4 linked regions of the Rhinolophus ferrumequinum genome follow. The protein of the gene in region 2 interacts with the protein of the main gene of each other region in a pairwise test. Links are inferred from orthologs where the notes say so. Each region holds a gene or a part of one and is shown on either strand. Other genes may lie near its edges. The genes, in order: PRKAA2, REL, GADD45G and POLR2L.

Evidence for each region.
Region 1: the proteins of REL (region 2) and PRKAA2 interact in binary tests that used the Homo sapiens proteins (3 or more experiments, as listed by UniProt). The link is inferred for Rhinolophus ferrumequinum from reciprocal best matches to the Homo sapiens genes REL and PRKAA2.
Region 3: the proteins of REL (region 2) and GADD45G interact in binary tests that used the Homo sapiens proteins (3 or more experiments, as listed by UniProt). The two-hybrid records come from large-scale screens. The link is inferred for Rhinolophus ferrumequinum from reciprocal best matches to the Homo sapiens genes REL and GADD45G.
Region 4: the proteins of REL (region 2) and POLR2L interact in binary tests that used the Homo sapiens proteins (3 or more experiments, as listed by UniProt). The two-hybrid records come from large-scale screens. The link is inferred for Rhinolophus ferrumequinum from reciprocal best matches to the Homo sapiens genes REL and POLR2L.

The regions. Positions count from the first base shown.
Region 1 is NC_046292.1:40,695,600-40,702,526, forward strand, and holds the start of PRKAA2 (5'-AMP-activated protein kinase catalytic subunit alpha-2), read left to right. Parts: upstream 1-3,926; 5' UTR 3,927-4,012; coding exon 4,013-4,106; intron 4,107-4,276; exon of another isoform or gene 4,277-4,412; intron 4,413-4,443; exon of another isoform or gene 4,444-4,579; intron 4,580-6,927. UniProt on the Homo sapiens protein: Catalytic subunit of AMP-activated protein kinase (AMPK), an energy sensor protein kinase that plays a key role in regulating cellular energy metabolism.
Region 2 is NC_046296.1:28,081,295-28,088,162, reverse strand, and holds the start of REL (proto-oncogene c-Rel), read left to right. Parts: upstream 1-3,845; 5' UTR 3,846-4,168; coding exon 4,169-4,178; intron 4,179-6,868. UniProt on the Homo sapiens protein: Proto-oncogene that may play a role in differentiation and lymphopoiesis.
Region 3 is NC_046295.1:4,408,536-4,414,618, reverse strand, and holds GADD45G (growth arrest and DNA damage-inducible protein GADD45 gamma), read left to right. Parts: upstream 1-3,876; 5' UTR 3,877-3,961; coding exon 3,962-4,209; intron 4,210-4,437; coding exon 4,438-4,539; intron 4,540-4,668; coding exon 4,669-4,882; intron 4,883-4,965; coding exon 4,966-5,076; 3' UTR 5,077-5,579; downstream 5,580-6,083. UniProt on the Homo sapiens protein: Involved in the regulation of growth and apoptosis. Mediates activation of stress-responsive MTK1/MEKK4 MAPKKK.
Region 4 is NC_046294.1:511,320-517,680, reverse strand, and holds POLR2L (DNA-directed RNA polymerases I, II, and III subunit RPABC5), read left to right. Parts: upstream 1-4,361; 5' UTR 4,362-4,508; coding exon 4,509-4,603; intron 4,604-5,527; coding exon 5,528-5,636; 3' UTR 5,637-5,855; downstream 5,856-6,361. UniProt on the Homo sapiens protein: DNA-dependent RNA polymerase catalyzes the transcription of DNA into RNA using the four ribonucleoside triphosphates as substrates.

The sequences.
Region 1 (6,927 bases), on a different chromosome or scaffold from region 2:
ATTTGGCTTGTATTACATATAAGATATCATCAACACACTTCATTAATCACTGAGTGTCTAGGTTTTTTTTTATGGTAGACTGGAGAACAATAACAGAAACACCTTATCATGAATCTATAAGGTCCAGTATGTTCTGGCTGATGCCTAACTCCAACCACACTAGTGACTCCTACCTACCCCAAGATGGAAAATTATGCTTTGTATTTAACAGTTATATGCATAAAATGAACTTATTAAGTTTGACTTCTTTTTAAAGTGCTCTTCCCTGTGTTCTTGTTCCTTAATTCCATAGGTTAATAACCATCTTCTTTATTTCAATTCAACAAATATTTCTGGAATGATGTACCAAGTTCCGTTGGGCCCTAGAAACAGCAGATGGAGTATGTTGTTTATATATACGTATATATATACATATATATAAAATATTAATTTAGACATGAAATATATATATATATATATAAAATAACAGAATCGATAGATGCTGTATTAGCGATATGAAAAAAGTGCTATGGGAATCCTGAAGCGAAATATGCAGTCAAAAAAATCAATCACTTTAGAGGAAGGACAGAATTATCTTTCTATTCTCTCTATAAAAAATGTTACAAAATATGAAGAGGCAATCAAAGAATATACAACCAAAAAATATAGAAAATAAGCATTATAAAGATATGTGGGATAGTTAATTTATATAGATTTTTTTTTTCTGAATTCGGGGATGTTTGTGTTGTCAGTTTAAAAATTATTTGTAGATAGTTTATTTCATTTCAAAGAAATATTTGCTTTCATGACCAATTTTGCATTTTTTTTCCCCATAAAGAGGACCCCCACATTGTATAAACATTAGATGTCACACAGCCCGAATCTACTCAGGTGCCTATAATTTATTTGTAAGGCACTGTTCTGGGAACTGAGGATAACAGCAGTGAACAAAATAGAGAAAAACACTCTCGTGAAGCTTACATTCTACTTGGGAGAGACAGACAAAACAAAAAAAACAGAGTAAACAAGTAAATAGTATGTTAGACAGAGCTGAGGAAGTTAAGGGGATGGAGAGTTCAGGGCAGGGAGTATGAGTGAGGTGAAACTGCAATAAATAGGACTGGTCAGAGCCGGTAGGCCTCACGCAGAAGGTGACCCTGAGAAGACTTGAAGGAACTGGTTGTTGATAATACCAGTGGAATGTAGTTTATTAGATTAGTGGTACTCCATTATTCTCCTATCCAGGCCTTGCTTTAGAATATTTGAAGTAAAGTAACCCCAAAGACCCAGTAGTAGGAGGGTAAAGCAGTAATAGTTGGAATAGGGTTAAGAAGTAAATAGCTGCCTGGTCCACTGAATCTCAGAGATTGGTACTAAATAACACATGGACACGAAAACATCATTGGAAAATAATAAAGTGGGGAATATTGTGCTTACCAGAACATCTTTAGGGAGTGAATCCTCAAGGGGCATGACTGTTAAGGAGATTTGGTCTGATTAACTGTCATACTGTATTGCTCTGTAGGGAGAGGCAAGGATGGAACCATATCTAAAATGTTCAGGGCACTAGAAGGCTGAGTGCTGCCAGACGTTGTCCTTTTCCACCCTTCTCACCCACTTAACATTCAACCTTTTCTCTAAAAGAGCTAAAGGTCAGGAAAAGAGCTAAAAATATAAATTTAAAGGGCATATTATTGGCCTGTCCTAGAAATAAAAAACAAAAAAATCAAAAAAACAAGAATGGGACTACAATTGTGAAGATTTTAAACTTACACGGAGCACCACGTTTTTATAGGCAGCTGTGGTATAGTAGAGGTAAAGGGTAGGTCAAAACTAGATGTGAGGTCTGACTCTGCCACTTAGCTGATTAGCCTTGGACAAATCAGAAAGGGAAAAACTAAGTTTTATTATCTATAAAATGGGGATAATCATAAGTTTCTTTTATGACAATTAAATGAGATACTTGTGTTTAAATGAACTTTTTAATCAACAAAGTATCATACATTTGTTTGACATAAAAATAAAGGTAGTTCATTGTAGCTAGGTAAGGATCATTGTTACGACATGTATAATAACGTAAGTTGTAATTATCAACAAATAGTTAAGACAGTGCAAAATGCCTTAAAATATCTATTTATAGTCTGTCTTCATGTAGCTTCAAGAAAACAATCTAATAGACTTTTCAACATCTTCTAACGGAATGTTAGCACAAGAGACAGACATACATCTTATATCGCAAAAACTGAAGAGGTATTTTGTTTTCTCATTCATCTGAATGAACACTGGAGGAGTGACCCTACCAAATGAAAGTTTAGTATCTAAAATAACTGGCTATTTTCTCCAAATTGCCAGCTAGGTAGAGTGATTCTTAATGATACTTCTTGTCAGCAAGAAAGATGATCGCAAGAATGAATAAAAATAGCCTCTGTTCAACAGCTGTGATATCTATAATTTATAAGCTGTGATCATTTCTCATCAGATTGTTTTGGTGTGTAAACAAGAATGATGTATGTGTGCCATTTGTGTATTTATCGTTTCTTAAAAAACCAATTTTTGTTACCTCGCATTCTTTCTGATCAATACGTTTCTCTCTTTACATATAAACAGTGTGGTAAGTGACTTCTTGTTTGAGGAATGTGACTTTGAAACTCTATTGTCATACACAATGTTTAAAATGTTCAACTAATCCTTACACATTATTATCAAGCAGCCAATATTTTTTCAGCACTGTTAAGATAGGCAACATTAAAGAATAGGACAAGAAAGGGAGGTAGGGAGGGAAGGATATATAATCACTTCATTACTAAATTCTTGTCAGTCTAGTTTCCTCTCACCATTTTTCCCCCCACTTCTATCTTTATCACATTTATTCTTTCATTAATTTGTGCATTTAAATTGCCCTTGCTTTCTTTAAAATTAAAGTTTATTGGGGTGACAACTGTTAGTAGAGTTACATAAACTTCAGGTTTACAATTCTATAATACATCATCTATATATCACATTGTGTGTCCACCACCCAGAGTCAGTTCTCTTTCCATCACCATGTACAGGAAATTGCCCTTGCTTTTAACAATTTCTCTTTGCCCCTATGTATTTTACTTTCTATGCTCACTGCATTCAGTTTCCCTTTTCATTTCTTTCACTGTTTCTGCACAGTTCCATCGCAAACTATTCGACGCTATGTATTAATATAAGCATGTGCTAAAACACAATTGAGCAAATATGCGGCTGTGATTTATTGGAGAATGTTGTGCAAATTAGAATTGAGAGCTCGGGAGGAGAGCGTCTCTTCCACCTATAGGAGAAAATAATCGAGAATTATAATATACGTGGCGGACGACTGAATGGAGCACAGATTTGAGTTCTCCATGTGCCGTGACCTGTATCTCAAACACTCAGCCTGAGCGACTTCCTTGAGGCTCCCTGACTGCTCCCGAATCAAGGCCTTTCCCGTCGCCTCCTACCCAACTTCCCTTCGACTCACGTAGTCGTTTCTACATCTCCTCTCTCCCCACTCTTTGGGTCTGTTTGTCTTTTTTAAAATTCTACTTCCAATCTCTTTCCATTCCCTAGGATTCGGCCCAAATCTCACCCTCACATTGTCCCTCCCTTCGGTGTTCCCCATAATGGGCCCCTATAGCCCACTCTCGCCCTCCAGCCTCTCCCCCAGGTAAAGGGGCGCGGTCCCCTGCACCCCGACCTCGCACACCTGTCATCCTCCGACCCCGCGCCCCCCGCTCGGGGACCCCTCCCTCGCTGGGCGCCCGGGTCCAGCCCCCACTGTCGCCGCCTGTCGCGGGGGCCCCGCGCATTCGCCCCCGCGCCCCGCCCGCCGCTCGCGGGCCTTCCCCACCTGGTCCCTGCCCCCCCGCCCGGCGCCCCCGGCCTCCCCGCGCCGCGGCCCCGGCCCTGCCCCCCGCCCCCACCGCGGGCCCGCTGCACTGTGGGTAAGCGGCGGCGGCGGCGGCGGCCGCACTCGGGAGCCCGCGGCGGCGGCGGCGGCGGCGGCGGAGCCCGGCTGCGCGCGCTGAACATGGCTGAGAAGCAGAAGCACGACGGGCGGGTGAAGATCGGCCACTACGTGCTGGGGGACACACTGGGCGTCGGCACCTTCGGCAAAGTGAAGAGTGAGTACGCGCCCGCGGCGCTGCGGCGGGCCGAGCTGCGGGGGCCCCGGAGCCCCGGAGCCCCGGGCCTGGCGGCAGGTGGGGCGGCCCCGGGCCGCGCGGAGCTGGGGGCCCCGGGAGGGCGGGGGGCAGCGCTGGGCTCCGCCTGGCCCCGCAGCGGCGGCTGGAGCCGGGCAGCGGGCGGGGGATCGGCGCCCGGGTTCTGGGGCCGGCGCCCAGCTGCCTGGCGGGTGTCGGGGAGCAAGGCGCTCCTGCCTCCCGGACCTCGGCGCCCTGTCCTCCGAAAGCGGGAGAGTGGGCTGCTCGGTAAGGCGCCCTCGGCTCTGAGACCGTATGGGTAGGGCTGGGGGATGACATCCGTCACTGATGATTTCCAGTTCCCGTGTCGTGCCAGGTGCCCTGTTCGGTGCTTGACGTGTGATTTCATTTAATCCTAACAGCAACTTGCTGAAGCTGTCATCCTCACCTCGAAGGTGAGAAAACGGGGACCCCTAGAGGTTTAGGACAGTGCCCAAGGTCACACAGAAATTGGCAGAACCAGGATGAAGTGCAAAATGTCTTCCAGTTCTGGCCAGGCTGGAGGTCCTTGCCATCCTGATTCTTTCGTGCTCCAAGACTCTGCGTTGGTGCGGCTGACTGTTTAGGGGATGTTTGGGGGCCGAGTGGTGGGTCGGTCTTTCTGCTGGGCGTGTGAACCGCTGGAATGCAGCTGGATTGGGCCGGGTTAATTACAACGGGCAAGTCTGAAGGTTGGTTGGCGTGTGTACAGTGGTTCTAGGAAGGCTTCTGGGATGAGGGGAGAAAAAAGTTTCCTTGGTGTCGGACCCAGTGAGGTGTGGGGCCGAGGAGGCCAGAACCGCTAAAGCGGATTCTGCTAAGGTCTGTTTTGTTGATGATGAGAGACCATTTTGGATGTAGAAAAACAGGCTGCTATCGGAATTTTTCCTCCATGCTAGTTAACTATTAAACTTTCCTTTTTGTTGTTGTTAACAGGAGTCACATGGGATTTAATTAATTTGTCCTCTTTCCAGAACTAGAACCAGCTTATTAAAAATACTTTGTTTGATTGTTGCAAATCCAGAATTATAAGTAGAATGTTGGCTGTTTAATTCTTTTTGCTTTGGATAGACAGTTTGGAGATTTTATTCTGAGACCTCTATTTCCTTTAAAATTCATATTTTCATCTTAAATCTATTCAATAGAAGAAACGTAGTGTTCATTCCTGTTGCCAGAATCAGCTCTTATTTCCTTACACATATCTGATACCCTTTCAGAAATACAGTTTGTTCAGAAAATACCGATTGAGCACCTCCAATGTGCTAGGCACTGCTGTAGAGAATAGGGATCCAGCAAGGAACAAATCCAGATTAAAATCCCTCCTTTGGTGGAGTTCATATTAGTAGGGGAAGACAATAATCACAGTGTATATGTAAAATGCATAGTATGTTTAGTGCTATTGAGAGAAATGAATCAGGGAAGGGAGGCTAGGGAGTTTTGTTTGGTTAGCAATTTTCAATAAGGTGTCAGGCAAGAACTCACAGACAAGGTGGGGTGTGTGTCCAGGCCTTAAAAGGTGGTAAAATTCTTTGAAGTCCCATGAGGGCTGTGAACTTTTGGGTTGTTTTGGAAAGACCTCATAAATAGAGTGGGTAGTGAGCATATGTTTTAAAATGAATATAGGAAGATCTAGGGATTGGATTGATGCCTGAAACATTACTTGTCATTAAACGGTATTGCTGAGGACTGTTGTGTTTCAGCATGATGCAATTACTCCATCAAATGGTGCATTTGCTATCTGGACATGTATGTACACTCTCAAAGTTAGATAACTTATCCTATGTCCTAAATTGTGTTAACATTTTTGTTTGTTTCTTTAAATTCTTCAACTGTAACATGAATATAGACTAAAACACCCATCACATCAATTGGCCCATTGTCAAGGGACAACTTAAATCTCTTTTGTATGTGTTACTCTTGAGCTGCTTCCAGGCACTGGCTTCTTAAAATATAAACAAACAGAAGGTGCTTTGATTTATGAGAAATCCTTTGCCTGGAGGACCCCTGTCCAATGAGCAACCATGCGGAGGGGTGTCCTAACACTATGTTAGAATCTCTCTAAAGTTAGATTGTGGTTTTTCCATCCACGATTCGAATTAGTACAATTGTTTGTTTAATACAAATTATAGAAGTTGCTACAATCTAAAGTTACTCATTTAATTCTTCAAGGGACAAGAAACAAAAGCACATGCATTTTTAAAAAGAACTTTGTTAGGTATATTGTACATATTATAACGTTAACTCATTCCAAGTGTACAATTCATTGATTTTTAGTAACTTGACCAAGTGGTGCAACCTTCATCATAGATCAATTTTCGAACATTTTTATCACCACAGTAGGATCACTTATGCCCATTTTTAGTTAATCCTCTTTCCTACCCTCAGCCCCAGAAAACTACTAATATGTTTTCTGTCGGTATAAATTTGCGTTCTCTGGACATTTCTTATAACTGGGATTATTCAATATGGAGTCTGTCATGTCTAGCTTCTTTAACAATGTTGTTGAGGTGCATGTACGACATAGCATGTGTTAGTAGCTTGTTCCTTTTTATTGCTGAATAATATTCCAGTGTGTGGGAAGGCCACATTCTGTCTACACATTCATTGATGGACATTGTTTTCAGTTTTGGGTTCTTACAAATAATGCCACCACAAACTCTACTTCACATCTAAGTCTCTGTGTGGACATACGCTTTTATGTGTCTTGGAGATATAACTAGGAATAGTTATATCCCAGGTCATATCATAGTTTTATGTTTAGCTT
Region 2 (6,868 bases):
AAGATTTGAACAAGGACAGTGGCAATCAAGATGGAAAAGAAATGGATTCATATTTGATTATAAAATCAGTAGGACTTGGTGGCTGGATGTTGTGGGGTTGGTGGGAGTTGGTGAGAGAGAGAGTCAACGATGGCTCCCGATTTTCTAACCTGTATATCAGTGGATGGTGGCATAAGGAATATGGGAGTAAGAGTAAACTTGGAAAGAGATGTTGAGTAGGTTGAGTTTGGGATGCCTATGAGTCTCCCCTTGGAGGTGTTCAGCAGACAATTAGATATGTAGGTCTAAAGCCCAGGGAAAGATTCAGGCTGGATATATGGTCCTGGGACCATGGGTAAAATCATGAGAATGGATGAGATTATCCAACGAGTGTGTGTGGGTTGAGAGGTATTATGCATCTCTCCCTCATCCCATGTTTCCCCGAAAATAAGACCTAACCAGAAAATAAGCCCTAGCATGATTTTTCAGGATGACATCCGCTGAACATAAGCCCTAATGCATCTCTTGGAGCAAAAATTAATATAAGACTCGGTCTTATTTTCGGGGAAACACAGCATTCCCATTCAGACTTCAATTTTCCTAGTTCTTTGTCTTCTTTTTCATACTATTACGCATCGATAACCCTTGGGTTAAAAACCATATAAGAAATACTGTTTACTGGTCTGAATTACATTTATGACCACAAATTTCAAATGGACATTCAGTACAGCCAGATATACCTTATAAAATTCCACTCTCAAGACCACATTTTCAGCTTCTCCTCTTCCTCGAATCTCCTATTCCCTCGTTGCCTTTCACTCTCGGTTGAACTTGACCTCATACTTCACTATAAAAAAAAAAAAGGCAGTTTGACTACCTCATTTTCATACCATCAAGTACCATGTTCTCTGCATCTGCTCTGTCTTCCTTCTTGTTACCACAGAAGTGTCTCCATTCCAATCTACTGCCAACCCTATACCTGTGCTCTAGATTTCATCCTTTCTTCCTTACTCATCAACCCCTTCCTTTCTTTTATCATCCATTTCTCCTTCACTACTGAGTCAGTCTCACTGTTATACAAATATGCCTTAATATCACCCTCTACAAACAAAATAAACTTCAGTTCCAGAGCTTGCTAGTGCTGATAATCATTTTCTTCTCTTCTCCAGAGCACACAGCTAAATTACGTTTCTCAAATTATATTTCTCAGTCCCCTTGGGGAGGCCACATGGAAAGTAGACTGCAACCAGAAGTAACGTATTTCACTTTCAGGCCTGGCCCATAAAAATCTCTCATTCTCTCTTTCCTTTTCTAACGTGACTTTGAAGGCCACATTTTGGTGCTACAAGATTGAAGTCACCTCGGTCCCTGGGTTACTCCTGGAAGAGAAAGTCACTCAACTCACACTGGACTGTGACTCAAATGATAAACTTTAATTATGTTAACTGGTTGAGACTGTAGTTGTCAGTGATAGCCCTTAGCCTAAAATAACGCCACATCGCCTTCCAGCTAATGCCCCATTTCTATTTCCTTTAACACTCTTTGAAGAGTTGTCTATACTCATCGTTTCCATCATTCTCTTCTCAACTTCCTCCCATTCAGCCCTCATCCCCACCATTCCACTGACATGGCTCTTATCAAGGTCATTAACGACCTTCATCTTGCCAAAGCCAAGGTCATTTCTTTTTTTCCTTTTTTTAATTTTTATTGGGGAATATTGGGGAACTGTGTTTTTCTAGGACCCATCAGCTCCAAGTCATGCTGCTGTTTTCACTCTAGTTGTGGAGGGCACAGCTCACTGGCCCATGTGGGAACTGAACCAGTGACTTGAAGTTATGAGCACTGCGCTCTAACCCAGAGCCAACCTACCGCCCCAAGGTCATTTCTTTATTGTCATCTTTTTCATTCTCTCAGCATCATTTAACACAGCTGACTTCCATTCCTTTTGAACCTTCTGGGACACTAGTCTATTGGTTTTTCTACTTCACTGGCAGCTCTTTCTTTTCTACTAGTTCTCGACTTGGAGGGTCAAGGGCTCTTTTTAATTTTTTCTCTATCTGCACCATTTCTTTAGGTAGTACTATCGTAAATGAAATGCTACTGACTCCCCAATCTTTATTTCTAGCCCTGATTCCCCTTAGCTTGAGTTCTGCATATTCAACTGTCTACTTCAGGATGTCTAATAAGCATCTGTAATGTAAGGTATCCAAAACACAACTCCTGATTTTCCTTCTCAAATGTTTTTCTTCACCAGCCTTCCTTTTTACCTGGTTGCTCAGACCAAAAATGTGAGTTTCCCTGATTCCTTTTCTCCCCTCCCATCTACCAAGGCCATCTGGTTCTGTTACCAAAATATCTTACTAAATCTAACCTCGTTTCACCATCTCCTCCGCAAAAACACTAGTTGAAACCACTTTTACTTCTCAGACTACTGCAACAACCTCTTAACTGCTTTGCCTTCATTCACCCTTGCCCCTAGTTAGTGTATACTAACAGTTTAACACATCACTCAGAGTAAACATCTCAAAATGTAATGTCAATCACACACTTAAAACTCTTCATAGCTTTCTGTGTGCAACTGGAATAAAATCTATCCTCCTTACCAAGTGAGATTTCTTTTTTGTCTTTGCAATCTCTTCAGTGCATCACAGTATGGTTTAATGCTTATTCAATCCTTTCATTCTTTTCTACTTTTCTGCATTTTGTGGAAAGGATATTTTGGGGTTCGTAGGAAATTTTTGTGTTTTTTTCTTTCCTCTCCCCACTGTGTCCTCCAACTTCAGCACTTGTATAGCAGGCTCACGTTCCCCACTCTTCGTCATTTCATACTGCAAGGGGTAGTGGGAAGAGCGTGGAGCTTTGGAGTGAGACTCTGGGTTTAAACTGTGCTTTTCTTTTTACCAGTATTCTGAAGTATGAACTTAATTTCTCTGAAGTACTACTTCTCTGAACCACGATTACCTCATCTATAAAATGAGGGTACTATGTCATAAATGAGGTAAATCAACTGATACATACAAGGTTCTTAGCACATAAAGGAAACACAGTAATACTCGATTCCTTTAACATACTAAACAGTTCGTTCCTTCCCCCGCCTCATGGGTATTTCTATCAAATCCCACGATAGAGTCGACCCCACTAATCTTGAGCAGTGCATTAAATGAGACAACGAACTCGCAGTGCGGACCTTAGGAGTTTAAAAAGTTAGTAGGTAAAATCCGTAAAGTTAACTGAGTCCTCGCAATTTAGATGTAAAGAGGGAAAATCAGACTGCGGGGGTCCCCGTATGCAAATGCATGCATTACACACGAATACTGGCGACAGCCACTTCCGCACTTCCCCTCTAGGGCACTCCGCGACAGTAGCGCTGCATCGCCCGCCTGTGCGGAGGCGGAGATTTGCATGTGCGAAATAGGGAAGAGGGGGAACCACCCATCGAAAATCCCGGGCCTTAGTACCGCCCCGCCCCCCTGCTCCAGCCAGGGAGGGCTGGCCCCACTTCGCCGGCCGGCCCGCCCCAAGTACTCCCCGGCAGCCGGCCCTCTCGACGTCACCGCACCCTCCTACCCGCTTCTGAACTTTAAACCACGCGCCGAAGAACAGCCCGGAGGAGGGGGATTTCTAAGGAGCTGGCGGCTTTCGCACGCTCGGGGCCGTCACTTCTCGGCTCCCCGTGTTCCCTGCATACCCGAAGATCCCGCGCCCCAGCTCCCCCGACGGGGTCCCGAGCCCACTGCTGCACCCGGGGTGGTAGCGGGGGCGGGGTACGGGCGGGGCGGAGCGCGGGCCGTCGTGTGCGGTTGCGCGCTAGCCGCCCCGCCCCTCCGCCCTCCCGCCCCCAGAGAGGGCGGCGGTGAGGAGCCTACGTCAGCTGCGGGAAATCCCCCTCCCGCTAAGGCGCGGGTCTCTCTGGCCCTGAGGTGCTGGGCTCTCGCTGCGCTCCGCCCCCCTACCCTTGGCTCCAGCACCCTGGACGGGCGAGGCCGGGGACAGCAGGGGCGCGAGAATTAAGGGGGTGGGAAGGTGTGAGCCGCAAACCAAAGCAGGGCGGAAAGGAGGAGGAGGCCCCGACGGTGGTCAGTGGGACAGGGGGTCCCGCCGGCAGAGGACTGACTGGCGGGCTGACTGACAGCGGCGGCCTCCGGTCCAGAGGCTCGGAGTGGAGCGGAGCGGCGCGGTGAACGGAGTCATGGCTTCGGGTGAGTGTCCTGGGCGCCACCGGCGGTGCCCGAGCTGGGGGGAACCTGGGGCTCGTCCCGGGGCTTTGCCGCTCAGTTTTGATTGTGGCGCGTTCTCTCTAAAATTGCCCGGTCTGGCAAATTGTCAACCTTGTAACAAGTAAGGTGGTTCGGGGGTTTGCCTGCGAAATCAAAGTCACGCTCTGTAATTTGATGCCATTATAGTAGCCGGAACCTTAGAAATTCCCAACGACTCTGTTTTAGGACTAGGGAAGTAATGAGAATCTAAATGGAGGACTAGGAGTTCGCGTATTTAAAAATTGGTTTACATCGAAATGGTGGTTTTATGTTTTACAACAGGAATGAGGAACCTTCAGACCTCTGAAAAGCTCTGAGTTTTTTAGTTTAATTTCATCAAGTACCAAGAGGTGATCGCTGTTGTGCTGACAGTTGTACAAAACGTGTGGCTTTAAAAGTCACCGGTGGTGTTTTAACAGGTCTTAAGTGGAAATGTTGCTTCAACACGGTGGATAGATTTTACTGCACAGTGCGCACGTTCTAACTTACGGAGCAGAAGTCATGTTGCTTTGGTTTTGTTTTTTTCCTCCTTTGTTGGAAAGAAGGGGGAAAGAGGAATTTTAGAATACTTGTGCTTCAAAATATGGGTAGGGAGTAAAAGAATTTCCTATCACTTGTGTAAATGTTTATTTTCAGTTAATAAATGCGTGAATCTCTTGCTTTGAGGGGAAACGAATTTACCAAGAAAGAGTTCAGAGGAAAGGGGGTGAGTCTCATACCGGTCCGGAATATACAACTATGGTTTAGGTCAGCCTGTGACCGAAGGGAAGTAAGTGAAGAATCCTTTACAGGATTCTGGCCGGGTTCCGAGGGCGCTTTCCCGGCAGAGGGAGCAGCGTGAGCGGTCACGGAGGCTTACAAGTTACTCCTGAACGCTGTACTGACAAGTTGAAGAGGGGGGGCCTTGTTTATGCTTGACCCGCATCCTCCCAACTCCCTGGTACAGTGACCCTCAGCAGAAGGTTGATGTCTAGCAGAGAAGAGGAAGTAGAAAGCTTAGAGGACTTTTTAAAGGGGTTGAACAGAAAAATGTCATAGCTACTGCTGTAGGCTAAAAAGGAAATTGGGGTAGTTCACACGACATTTGATTTCAGTTTGTCTGTGGTTTTCATGTGAGCATACAAGTGGAGTTTAAAATATTTCAACTTTCTCTTAACCCACTTCAGTGACCCCCAAACTTTCAGATAATTCAAAGGCCGTTTAGATTAAAACTGCAAAGATGACTTAAAATATTTGATTAATTTATTGGTTATCAGAAAGAAATTTTGTATAAAAATAGTAAAGAATAGCGAGTATTATAAATAAAAGAAAAAGGTCAGCCTGCTGGCAATTTAAGCGAACTTTGTTAATACATGGCATGAATGTAATACTCCCAATTCTTTCAAAAGAGAGAAAAGAAGTAACCATGTTTACATAGGTATTGTAAGACCTACATCATTTAAAACTGTGATACAATTGAAAATTATTTAATGACACTATATTTTTGTGATGTTATGAGGACCCTCAATTGAACGGGGGGGGGGGAATAAGGAATGGAAAGTTGTAATCATAACATGTTATTTAAATTATAATTCAATTGTTTGAAAACTGCTAAGCAAATTTTTAAAAAGAAGTCGGGGTGTACTTTCCTTAATTAATTTTAAAGACCTTAGAGGAAGAGTGACTAAATTATCAATTCCTATCCTGTTTTGAAACAGTAATTTAACCAAAAGAATCACAGGGGAAAAAAGTGCTAAATTAGTTTATCATTATCTAGTTTAGATTCTGTTTGTAGTAAGGTAGTATTAAAACTCAAAAAGTATTTTTATTGATTACAAAGATTTTAAGACCATTTCTACATTTCTCCCCGGATGTCATATGTAAATATGTGTGTGTAGTTGAATATATGATCTGCATAACGTAAAAAGTAACATCATAATCTCATAAGCAAATTTATAAGAACCATGAGTAACTGGTACTTTGATACATATTTCTAAATTTTGTTCAGGTAAGCTGTCAGATTATTCAGGATTTCCCAGTTTAGGTTCTATTAAGCTGTCTTTATTGCTTTTTTAAAATTACACCTTGGTTTCAGTCTTTTGACATGATGAATTAAAATAGGCATTGTGAAGAAAAATGTACCCAGACCCATCTAGGGTATGCATAGCATAGTTAGGCAATCATTACTCTTGTACATTTTAAGTAAAATTAGCTCTTTTATATCAGAATTTAAAGCTTCTCATTGTTCCAGTAGAAAGTGTAAAATGTTCTTGTGTGCCCCTGGCTCTATTTACTAATAAATAGTACTGTCTTTGGTAAAATACGTTTTAACATTTAGATAATTTTTATTCCTAGTTTTCTTTAGTATAGTTCTGCTTTGTCACGGAGTAGGAAGTACACTAAGAAATTGTTTTTGTAAACCGCACACTACTTACCAACTCTTTGTCTGCTGTATGAATTTCAAGAGAACTGTTTCCCTTGAGTAAGGGGGGAAAATATGAATGTAAGTATGTTGCAACTTCAATCTTTAATGATAGAGCTGGAAGCTGGAATTGATAACTAAAGCAAATGACTTCTTTTTTTTTTAATGTAGAAGACTACACATGTAAACATAAAGGCTGTTTTGGAAATGCAGTACATGAAAATATAGAGAT
Region 3 (6,083 bases), on a different chromosome or scaffold from region 2:
GTTTTCAACTACAGTGAGAGCTGCTGTGCTACTGCTTATCGCTATGACACGTGTCACAGTCATTTGTGACTTGGGACTGAGAAAGTACCATGTACATGAATGATTTGCCCTCACCCCCTTAGTTTCAAGGGCCCTTTCACATGCTACGCAACTGCTCACCCAAGAATAACTGTTCCTTCTAGGAAGCCCCCCCCCAATCCGGGGACTGACCATGGAGACCCGGCTCATGCTCTATGGGGATTTCCCGTTTCAGTTTCCTGCTTCCTATCTCAGCTGTGATCTAAAGGCTCCCCATCTACAGACCTCACATTTTGTGGGGTGGGGGCACGGCAGTGCATGGGGGGTGGTGCTGTAGTGTGCCTGTTAAATGCTGGGACACATCTGAGATGACTTTGCAGGTTTTAAATATTAAGTGTGTGTATTGCACAAAGATTTGGTTTCTTTTCTTAGTTAATGTATTATTGTCACCAACTCATTGCTGTTCCCCCCACGCCATCCATGAGTTTTTTGGGAAAAACAAACGCTCTTTTTGAAATCCAAGGAGACCTGTCCTGCCTGAGAAGGGGCTGATGAAGGGGTGGGGGTGAGGGAGTGAGAGCAACTCCCCCGCCATTTGGAAAGGGGCCAACCCAGACTGCTCCCAGCGCCCTGTGCCAGCACAGGAGACCTGTCCTGCAGAATCTGGGACACAAATAATGCTTGCCCTATTTGAGCTTGTAAGAACCTGGTCCCTTTATTTTGCTTTTCAAACTTCAGTTTCTTTTTAAAGATTGCAAATGTAAAGGCCTGCAGGGGACAAGCAGGTCATGAAAATGAACGAAGCCGCAGGAATCCTCATGAGGGTGTGAAGGGGACAGTGGTGAACTGGAGAGCAGTGCCCTTCTGGGGTCCCACTGCCTCCCCTTCACTGACGGTTACTGTGGTGTATCGGGGTGGTGGTGACTGCAGGCATAGTGGGGGCCAAATCTCATTTTCCAAAAGAAACTGGAATTCCAGAGTTTTATGTGAAAGTTGCTGGTTTTGAAAGGTGGCAATGATTTGGACTTTTCCTAAGACACCCCATCAGCCAAAGGACTCTGCCTGCAGGTAGTATGGAGCTCTGAGCAGTCCGTGGCCTGCAGCCTGTGGTGGGGCTGCAGTCACAGGGGAATGAACGGGGCTATTTAAAGACAGCATGAGTGCACTCTCCAAAAGCAAATGATTTGAGAAATTGCAATAGGGGCTATCTCATAAAGCTGACTATTTACTTAAAGCCCATTTCTTTCCATACTCAAATCAACAGACTCTGCCAACATTTCAGTCAGGTAATGAGGGTGACTAAGAAGTGCATTTCCAAGAATGTGTTAATAAAATGGTTATACTGTGAACATTTCCAAAGGCTTTTAAAAACAGAGCATCTCTAAGGGTGTCTCTTTAATAAAGTCACCATCACCTGCACTGTTAAGGGAATGTTTAGGGGTGCAGTCATGGGGAGCTTGGGGTGACATCACAGCCGTCTAGGACCTGGGGCTCCAGCAGGCTAGACACTGGCTGAATGCAGTTTGGGAGCATAATGGCATCGCAGCCGGATAAGTGAGCCACTTGCTATTGTCAGCTGTGTCTTCTATTGCAGGGCAGGGCTGGAAGGCGTCTGAAGGTCACCCGGAATGGGGTGCAGCCTCACCCACGGCCTGCCTGTAGTGTGATGGGAACTGGGCTGTCCCAGACCCTGCAGCTTCTGCATTTGTCTAAACTGCGGGGTGGGGTTGGGGGTGGGGTCTGGTGGAGGGCCAACATTGCCTCTGGATAAAATGTTTCTTTCCTTCCTAATTGAGATGAGGTCTTTGGGGCCATTCAGACTGACTTCATAAACCCATGTGAAGTCATATCCTATGTCAGAAAGGTGGTTTTCCTGAAATGGAATACCTTAAAAATCTGAGCAAAGTAGAAAAGCCCCAGGAGGTTGTCAATCAGGCCTCTTCCTCAGGGCTGGCTTAGTACCAAGCGGAAATGCTGTCCTCCTCCCCACTCTGGCCTGTCCAGTGGCCTACTCTGTCTGGGAGCAGGGGGCCGAGGCCTGCTGTGAAGGCAGATTTCTAGTGTTATAAATGGGGCGGGGCTAAGATGTCAAATAAGTCTTATTTGCAATATTTCCTGGGGACCCAGAATAAATACATTTTAAGAAATGTTTAATTCTTTAAAAAGAACAATACTTAAGTCTCAATCACTTAAAACTAAACAGATTTTATCCAATCAAGGCACCATCATTTTATATATCATCAAGAAAGAAAGGAAACAATAGCAAATAAACTATGCCACCTGGCTCCCGCGATAAGACACCTTGGGTTTCAGGAATGTTAGGTAAGCAAACACCCGCAACTAGGAATCAAGGAGGTGGCCTTGATTTTGCAGCTGTCTTCTGCCAGCAAACCACTGGGGGGCACCAGCCGCCAGCTCAGTCGGTTATTTTTCTTCATTATCTTCTGTCTTGACTCAAGCCTGGGCTTCCAGGAATCCCCCCGCCCGCCCACTGTCCTGCCCAGTCTCCAAGTCCTCGACTAGAAAAGTGAGGTCAATGAAGTGCATCCCAGTGCGTATTTTAGTGTAGCGCAGAGAGATGCAGATACCAAAAGGGGGCGAACCATCTGAAAGTGCCCGCTTGTAGGTCCAAAATGGTCACATCACGGCAATTTCTACTAAACCCTCTCAAGGGCTCTTCCAGTTTTACTATTCTATTACTGGAAAACAACATTTATATATACATATTTAAATAACACAAAAATTCCAAAATAGCATAAGAAATATGGGCTCTTCCTCCATGATTCGCGCCCACCTTCTCCCCATGTGGATTTTGCAGCCCTTACTCTGACTTCCATCAATGGTAGCTTGGATGGGGCTCAGCGGATCCTGTCAGGGCCACCCCGAGACTGGAGGTCAACCCGCCAGAGGCCACTGGAAATTGGGGGGTGAGGGTGTGGGTGGGGAAGAGGGGTGGTCAGGATCTTTCTACCCGGCCTGTAGATGGCGCCCCAAGCTCTTGGGGACTGGAGCCTCGAGGTCTCGGCGGAGCGCACCTGGCTGCCTGGATAGTATAGCAGCCTGGTGTTTTTTTCATCTGGCTTGCCTGCCAGGACTTGGTGGGGCCGAATTACACGTAAATGGGCCGCGGGGTGCAGAGGGACGCGCACCGAGGGGCGCAGAAGCAGCACACGACCCCGTCCCCCAAGGGCCGGGCAGCCCGGAGACCCCCACGCGCGGCGCCGCCCTGCCCATCCCACCCGGCGGCAGGTGGGCAGTGTCGCTATGAAGAGAAAGACTCGATTGTTTTTTCTGCAAACAGCCACACGCCAGACCTCTGCTATTGTGCGCCCTCCATAGAAATGCAAACGAGCCGCGTGCGCCGGCCCCAATCTGCTCGCGCGCCCGGCGCCCCGCAGTGCTCTGCTGCCGGCGGGGAGCTTGGCTCCGACCCTCCAGCGCTGTCGGATCGGGGCTTTGAGCGTGCACCGCGGCTTTGCCGGCGCGCTCGGGGGCATAAGTGTCAGCTGGAAGGGGCTGCGCCCAGACCTTTTGCAAGCTTAAAGCCAGTGCTGCGAGGTTTTACTTTAAGTTCCGGTTTCAAAACAACAGTCTCTTGAAGTCCAAATTAAAAGTAAAGACAAAAATAGAAAAGAAACAGCAAAAATAAAATGAATGCAAAATAAATTTTTTACGTTCCCCAAAGGTGCATTTCACAAATTGTAGCGACCTATTAGCAAGTAAGGTCGTTTGTTTGTTTGTTTTAATAACTTCTTCCTTTTAAGGACTTTTAAAGAACAACAAAAAAAGGAGATGAAATTTGCAGGTTCCAGTCTGCCTAGTAACACCCCGACAAAAGCGGCAGATTTGAGGCATTGTCATCCCCCGCAGCCCTCCCCACGTGGCCTTCTGGCACGAGTCCCTGGCCGCCGCCTCATTTGCATCAGAAAGCCGGCGCTGGCCAATGGGCTCGCAGTTTCGCGCCAGCTGGCGGCGCTTCGGCCCTGGTCTATATAAGGGCGCGCGGCCGTACCTCGGCGCACTAGCTGGCGGTGGCGCGCCGGTACCAGCTGCAGGCTTTCTCAGCCGTTCATCGTCTCCTGTTGGTCCGCTTCGTCTGCTCCTCTTGTGGATAACTTGCTGCTTGCCTTACCGCACGATGACTTTGGAAGAAGTCCGCTGCCTGGACACGGTTCCTGAAAGCACAGCCAGGTGGGTGGGCACCGGGTGCCGGACGTATCGGGGCGCGGGGAACCTCGCTCTGCCCTTGCCACGGTTGGTCGGGCGAGAGCCTTAAGAGCCCGCCGGGGTGGGACCCCGCTGGCTAGAGAGTCGGGCGGGGGTATGTCAACAGGGTTGGGGCGCCGGGGGTGCGTCCTAGTAGCTGGGGACCACGCCGCGCTCTGGGTAGTCCTACTCACGGCGCTGGTTTGTCCGCAGGATGCAGGGCGCCGGGAAAGCACTGCACGAGCTGCTGTTGTCCGCGCAGCGCCAGGGCTGTCTCACCGCCGGCGTCTACGAGTCCGCCAAAGTCCTGAACGTGTGAGTATAAACGCGGCTGGGATGAGGCGACCTGGGGCTGGGGGAGCGGCAGGAAGACCTGGGAAGCAGCATCGGGGGCACCCCCTGGTCAGTGGTGCCCTGACCTCATCACCCCCCTTCCGCGCGCAGGGACCCCGACAACGTGACCTTCTGCGTGCTGGCAGCGGACGAGGAGGACGAGGGCGACATCGCGCTGCAGATCCACTTCACGCTGATCCAGGCGTTCTGCTGCGAGAACGACATCGACATCGTGCGTGTGGGCGATGTGCAGCGGCTGGCGGCCATCGTGGGCGCCGGCGACGAGGCGGGCGCACCGGGAGACCTGCACTGCATCCTCATTTCGGTGAGTGTACTCCTCCCCGTGTCGCCCCCGCCCGGGCCAGCGGCCTGTCGCCAGTGAGGCTGACCTCTGCGCTCTCCCCGCAGAACCCCAATGAGGACGCGTGGAAGGACCCCGCTTTGGAGAAGCTCAGCCTGTTTTGCGAGGAAAGCCGCAGTGTCAACGACTGGGTTCCCAGTATTCCTCTCCCCGAGTGACAGCCCTGTGGGGGGGTCCTTGGTCTGATCGACGTGGAGACGCCCCGGGGCGCCTAGCGCGGGGCTGGCTCTGTGGATGCGCTCTCGGAGGGCGCCGGAGTTTGGCGTGGAGACTGGCAGGCGGGGTCGCGTGGAGAGAGCGGCGAAGAGGCGCGGCTCCCTTCGACCAGGGGGCCTGGCGGCGGCAGGGGCAGGCTGGCCCCGAGCCGAGGACTCTACAAGTGTGGGGAGCGGCTGCTCGCCCTGGAAGGCCGGAGGCGGGACGTTGGCCACGGGGCCGGGAAGGACGGACTGGCTGGGCAGGCGTGACTCAGCAGCCTGAACTGTGGGCAGGAAGCAGAGGAAAGGCGAGGCCAGGCGGCCTGGACTTATACAATTACCGGAGCTCTGACGGACCTAGCAGTCTGCACTGCTGTTTCAAAACGGATCCTGGCAGTGCTTCGTTCTCTAAAGGATTATGCTGCTGCAGTTATGAATTTTGCAATAAACTTAACTGAAACGAACTTATTTTCTTTATTGAGGGTTGGGGGTCCTTTCTGAGGGGGTGGTGGTCAGCAGGGTTGCAGATGAGTGCTGCAACTCATGGAACTCGGTGGCACCTGTTCCATCCTCCTGTCTGGGCTGAATTACAGGCTCTTGTTTTGAATTACTGGGCACTGGAAGTGGGGGAGGAGGTGCTGGCAGGGAGTTTCGCAGGACTTGAGACCTGCTCCTATTTTTCTCCTTTTAGGAAGATTTTTAAACTAGCAAGACAGGAGCAGAGTTGAGATAAGACATCAGTGCAGCAGCTGAAGGCTGGCCATCCAACCTGATAACAGCAGCTTCCCCCTCCCTTCCCCCTCCTCTCCCGGCCCCCTCCCTTTCGACAGCTGCTTATCGGAACAGCTTGCAGGAGGCAGGCAGCCTTCCTGCACAATGAGCATTGCCTTGTTCAGGCGCTGCCTTTTGTGGTCCCTGAGGATGGCAGCAGACTGCTCTCAGGAACATTCTCCTTTTAAAGGAATGGC
Region 4 (6,361 bases), on a different chromosome or scaffold from region 2:
TGCCCAACCCCTCACGGGCTGCACACTGCCCACCTGTCCACTCATGCCTGGGGTGGACGGGAGTCCACCGTATGGGTCAGTCCCAGCTCGTCCCTGCAAGCAACCTGACACCCACCCCCAACTTCAGTTAGGCGGTATGAACGGCACCCACCCCAGTGGGGAGGGCATGTGCCTGGGTCCAGGCCCTGGGACCCCATCCCCACCCCTCCACAACTGCTGTGCCTGGGGATGAAGTGTCTGTTGAAGGGTTTTAGGCCCCATGAACTATCAAAGGAAATGGGGGACACACCCGTCCCACTTTCTTTGATGAACCCCCCTCCCCAGGGCTAAGGGGCCCAAAGCCCACAGCAACATTCCGGAAGCTAAAAACCATGCAGCACACACCCACCCACGCAGGCCTGAGGCTGGGTCTGCATATCCCCTCAGCCCCAGATCCCGGCATCCCTCCCCGGCAGGCCCTTACGGCTGGCTCCACCAGCACCTACAACCCTCCTGGGCAGGACAAGACCAGGCTGGCTCCTCCCCATGAAGCCTCCATGCCGCACTTTGGCCCTCCTTTGAGGGCAGAGACTGACAGGTCTGTGTCCCCAGTACAGCTCACACAGCAGGCAACAGCGACAGGGCTGAGTGACAGCCCCAAGACAAATACCACAGCCTGCCAGCCCGGGGCTGGGTCTTTGGGGTTGTGTGAGCCACAGGCCATGGGCACCTACCTGACCACACCAAGGCCCTCTCCAAAAAGGACCTGCCCAAATGCTGAAACAGAGCGTGTGGCGTTGGACTTAGAGGCTGGGGTGGACAAATGGGCGGTTGCCAGTGGCCCACCCTGACCCCAGCAATGGAGCAGCAGCAGGGGTCTGGCCTGAGCACACACCCCAGCAGGGGCAGCTCAGGGTGGAGCATAGATCGCAGATCGGAGCCGCCCACCCCGGCCCCCTGGCGGAGCTGGCTCTGAGGCAGCTTTGAGGAGCCCAGGAGGGCCTGGCCAACACAAACAGGCCTGTGGTGTGGGCCTTCCTGCCACTGCTTCAGCCCCGCCGGGCCCCAGTGCCCACCCAGGTCTGGGGGAGGAGAACACAGACACCCAGGCTGGGCAGGCTGGCATCCCTTCACACTCAGAGCCCAGGCAGGGTCATCTCCCCAGCCCAACCGGGAGCGTCCGGCTGGGAGACACCCGCTCCACGGGAGGGATCCCCGTGGAAGAAGCCACCAAGGGCCCCCTCTCTCCTCCTGGGCCCACCTAGGCCAACCCAAGCTCAGGCCCTCCCTCCCCTGCCCACCCCCCCCCCCCCCCCGTCCCGGCTCCTCCCCCCACCTCAGGTATTTCTCTGCTGAAGGCCATGTAGAGGTAAAGGCCAAGGGGACACAATTAGGATTGGGGGCTGGGGGATACCTTCCCAGCCACCACAGGCCCTGGGAGCACGCTACCTCACATGGCCAGTGTGTGCCTGCCCCACCTCGACAGACACCCCCACCCCGCCCTATGCCACCAGACGGACACCGCAGAGCAGTGCCCTCCCTCAGGAAGCCCACATCAGCCCCAGGTGTGTTCAGAGGCTCATTAGGTTAGAGTCAGTTCGGGCTCAGCACGCCTGCAAACATCACCACTAAGGACTCCCCAGCCCCAAGGGCCGAGAGGGTTAGCATGGGTGCAGCAGGTAGGTGACCCGTCTGACCCTGGGGAGGCATCCGAGCATGTATGTTCAAGGATCCCATGCCACCCTGTACACCCCATGTAAGCACACATGTACCCAAAGCAAGCGGCCAGGGCCTGAGTCCGGAACCCCACACCTGCACAGATAGATCCGGACCCTCCAGCTTGGCAGCTTCTCGTTCCATCCACGCTTTACAGATGGGGAAACTGAGGCTGTGATCCAGGACCAGGGGTTGGGGCCTGTGGCCGGCCTGTTTCCAGGACAACCTTCAGAGCCGGAAGCTCAGCAGCTAAAACTTCAGTCGCTGATTTCCCCTTGTCCCTGGCCTGCCCTCAAGTGACCCTTTCTGGCAGGAAATGTGGCTCACGGGTTCCAAACCACATGTGAGCACAGCCCTCCCTCCTCGTGCTTCCCATCACTGGAGGCAGGACACTCATTCTCGGAAAACCTGTGCCTCACTCTCCGGCCCTCCCCAGAGGCCTGGGCCACATCTGTGCTGACACTCCACACCGAGGGGAGAAGCCAGGGCCCCCACCTACCCCAGCAGGCACGCAGAGCCCCTCCTCCACCAGTGCCCTGGGCCCCCACAGCTCCCTCCTGCCCCTGGCCCCCCCGGCCCTCACCTCAACGTGCAACCCCAACACACACAGACACACATGCAGGGACACAGCCTGTCCGGGCCATGGTTGGGGGGTAGAGCTGACCTCTGAGGTTCCCCTGGGGTCCTCTGGTCCAGCCTGGGCAGGGCTGAGCCAGGCAGAGTTGAGCAGGCAGAACTAAGTGCCCCAAGGGGCCTCCACCCACGCACACGTGTGCTGGGGCAGCGCACACAGGCTGGGCCGGGGCAGCCACTCTGCTCCCCATGGCCTCTCCTGGGAAATCAGGGAGCTGGAGGGAGGAGCTTGGGAAGAGGAGCCAGCGGCCCCCAAATCTACACACAGCTCTCAGAATTCCAGGAATGTCAACTTGGCTCTGGACCGGATCAGGGAGGGAGGCTCGCTGCTCCCCTTACTCTCTCTGCGTAAACAACTGCTCAGGGCAGGAGCTCCAGTGGGACAGGCCCTGGGCCCCTCCTCCAGGAAGCCTTCTGCCCCCACCCACTCCAGCTCCTGAAGGTCCACCCAGCTGACATCCCGATGCCCTCCCGGTCTCCCTCACCTCCACAGCCTCGGGCAGCCTCTGCAGCTGAGCCTGGGTCTGACCCCAGGCCACTGTGACTCAAGGCCCCTATCCTGCCCCTCCAGGCCAGGGACAGGATGTGCGTCCAGTCAGTGTGTATGTGGGGGGGTGTCAGGGAAGGGAAGTGGCTTTGGCTCGTGGCTCTGCACGTGGCAGGGTGGGGGATGGCAAAGAGCACTGGGGAGGCTGTCCAGGGCCCCGGAGAAAGTGGAGGCACAAACTCCAGGCGGGCACCAGTGCCGGCAGCTCCACCCAGGACCCAGGACCCTCCATCTCCCTGCCCCCCAACTAAGGCCTGAGGGGGCAGTTAGCTGACTCCTGGGACCCAACCAGAGATCCAGCGAACCTGCCCCAGAGGCTGCACACACATTAAGTCACAGGTGCCACTTTGCAACACATCCACCCCCTAGAGCCCAAAGCTCACCACCCACACACAGGGAGCCCTCGGGCTTCTCACTGCACACTGCCCGCCCTGCCCAGCCCCCATCTTGGGGCTCAGCCCACCCCATTTCCCGACACACAGCCTCCCTTCCCCTCAATCCTCCGTGGCTCCTGCCCCACCACCTACTCTGGCCCTAGCGCACACCTGTCTGGGACTACCCTGCAGGTACCGACTCCAGACCTCTGCCCAAGGGTTCCTTTTGCCAGGGTCTGCCCTGCTCCTTCACACGCACTCAGGCTCACGCCTGGTGAAATCCTGTACTTTTCAAGGTTCAGCTCAACAGGCGCCTCTTCCACGACGCTCTCCCTGACCACACTCCGGTCCTCAGATCGCGGGGACCCAGCAGAGCTTGGACTGGGGCGGCTGCAGACCCTTCCCGCCCCCCATCCCCTTCCCCGGGAAGAAAGGAGGAGGGACGCGGACCAAAGCAGATCGATGCGGCGCTGTCTGAGCTCACCACCCGGCCGATCGCTCCTAGCGTGCCCTCCCACCGTCGGAACTACAGGTAACTGTTACCTGGCCGGGACCGATATAGCACGGGCGAGCGGGCCTGGAGACGCCCCGAGGGCACTCCCGAACTCAGCCGCAGAGATTCCCGGGCATCCGCGGGCAAGGATTCCGGGCGACAGACCCCTTTCCCGGCCCGTCCAGGAGAGGCAGCGGGAAGACCCGCCCGTGGCCGCCGGCCAGCCTCTCTCTGCCCCCGCTGCGGGGTCGCCGCGCCCGGGCCCCGCCACTTGTTGCTGCGGCTCGACTCGGGGCTCCGCGCTCCGGGCTGGAACTCCGCTCCCGCTCGCTCGTGCCGGGGCGGGTGTCTGATCCCGGCTCTGGCGCGGCGGGCGGCGGGACCCCGACCAGCGGACGCTGTACCTGCGCGCGCAATCCACCCGCCGCGTAGCTGTCAGTCATGCGGACACGAGAAACGCGAACTGCGCCGCCGAGCCCTTACGGCCTCGCTCGGCCACCATAGGCCGGGATGTACCAAAGGGGCGCAGAGGGGACGCCGCCTGCTCCTGCCGCAGCCACGAGGGTTCCGAGACCCCCGATACGCGCGAGGAAGATCGTCGCGACAGGAAGCGGATGCCGACGGCGCGGGGGCTGGGGAGGTGGACTGGGGGCGGCTGGAGACGGGTCCCGTCTCCCCCGCACCATGGACGCGCCCGGGGCGGGGTCGGCTCTCGGGCAGAAGCGCCGCCGGAACCGAAGAGCGCGGTCGTTGTCCCACTGCCGCCATGATCATCCCCGTGCGCTGCTTCACCTGCGGCAAGATCGTCGGCAACAAGTGGGAGGCCTACCTGGGGCTGCTGCAGGCCGAGTACACCGAGGGGTGAGGCGCCGGGCCCGGCGGGGGAGGGCCGCCAGCGCGGTGGGAAGCGTCCCTGGGCCGCCCTGCGAGACGGGCGGGGAGGGCCGGGGGTAACGGGGTCCCGGCCTGCGGGGCGGGCGGTGCCACGCGCATCCGATTACAGGTGACCCTGGAGGGGCTTTCAGTTCCAGAGTCTCTTCCAGCCCTGCTCTCCAGGGGGCTTCTCGGTGTCCTTGTGGCCGGCCGCGGTGCCCCTCCACTGCGGTTAAGCCGTCACCCTGCTCCCTGCCCACCTGCTATTAGATCCACCGCATGTCCCACAAGCCCACTTGTCTTTTAGGCTCAGGGCAGCTTCCTGGCCACATAGCTGTCATTTTGAGGCTGTGGCAGGTCCCTTTTCTGTGCTTGTCCCTTAGCACTGCAGTTACCACCACGGCTAGCTGAGTCTGCTCCCCAGTAGAGTCTCACCCTTGGCCACTGTGTGGACAGCCCATGTCCTGTCACACTTGAACCCCTGGGACCCGGGACGTGCCAACATGCCATCGACTCTCAGGGCAGGTGTGGGGGTGATGATGGGCTGTTGGCACCAGACCCTGCAAAGGCTGCTGGGGTGACCAGAGTGCGTGAGTGGCTGGTAGCCTGCCCACGACCCTCCGTGCAGCACCATGGGCAGGGACCTTCCAGCCTGGCCTCCCCATTGCCAAGCTGCCATCTCTGCACACTGGGGCCAATGGTGTGGGAATTTTCTGGAGGCCTCGAGGGTGACTAATCTTGGTCCCAGGGAATTGGGGACTCTAATTTGCGTCAGAAATGGCTCCCTGGAGAGATGCCTCCCTTCCCAATGTGGAAGCAGGGCTGAGGAAAGATCCCACAGCAGCTGAGTGAGGCTTCCATCTGCCTGGGCTTTTGGGGACCGACAGATCACAGCCTGTCTTCTGCCTGCAGGGATGCTCTGGACGCGCTGGGCCTGAAGCGCTACTGCTGTCGCCGCATGCTGCTGGCCCACGTGGACCTCATAGAGAAGCTGCTCAACTATGTACCCCTGGAGAAGTGAGTGAGCACCCAGCATGCTGCTGGCCCACGTGGACTTGATAGAGAAGCTGCTCAACTATGTACCCCTGCAGAAGCCCGGGAGCACCCAGCAGTCTGTCCTGCCCAGAGCCCCTCCCACTGAAGCGTGGGTAGCCAGGAGCAATGTCTGCTCACAGCTGTGTGGGCGTTGGTCTCCTGCTCTGGCAGGAGCCATCCAGTAAAGGTCTTTGCAGAACCACAAGAAGGTCCTGACAGTTGGTCTGGCTTTGTGCGACTCCCTGCCACTGTGTACCTGTGTCCTGCCTCATGCCTGAGGCCACTTACTGCCCAGGAAAAGGGATAGCCATCCCCATGGCAACTGCTCAGCCTGGGGTGTCTCCCTCTGGAGGGGGTGCTCTCAGGCCACCAAGAGCACTAGGGCACTGGCATCTCCACCCATGTGTTCTGTGTACTCTAGGTCAGCACAGCACAGAGGTCCCCACATCCTCTCTTCCCAGGATCTAAAGAACCAGATTTTCTGGGCCCTGAATAGAATGCCTGCTGTGGTCATGGCTGCCCATCCTGAGCGTCCTGCTGCCAGAAGCTTCCAGGCTCCACCCAAGCCCAGTAGACCCCTCGGCCAAGTTCCTGCAGGAGGCGGGGCAGCACTCAGGCTCCCCACCCAGCCCGGAGACCCTACAGTAGCTCTGCGGGTTGTCAGGGCTGGCTGAGCTCCCAGTGCCGTGGGCATCAGCATTCAACCCTGCG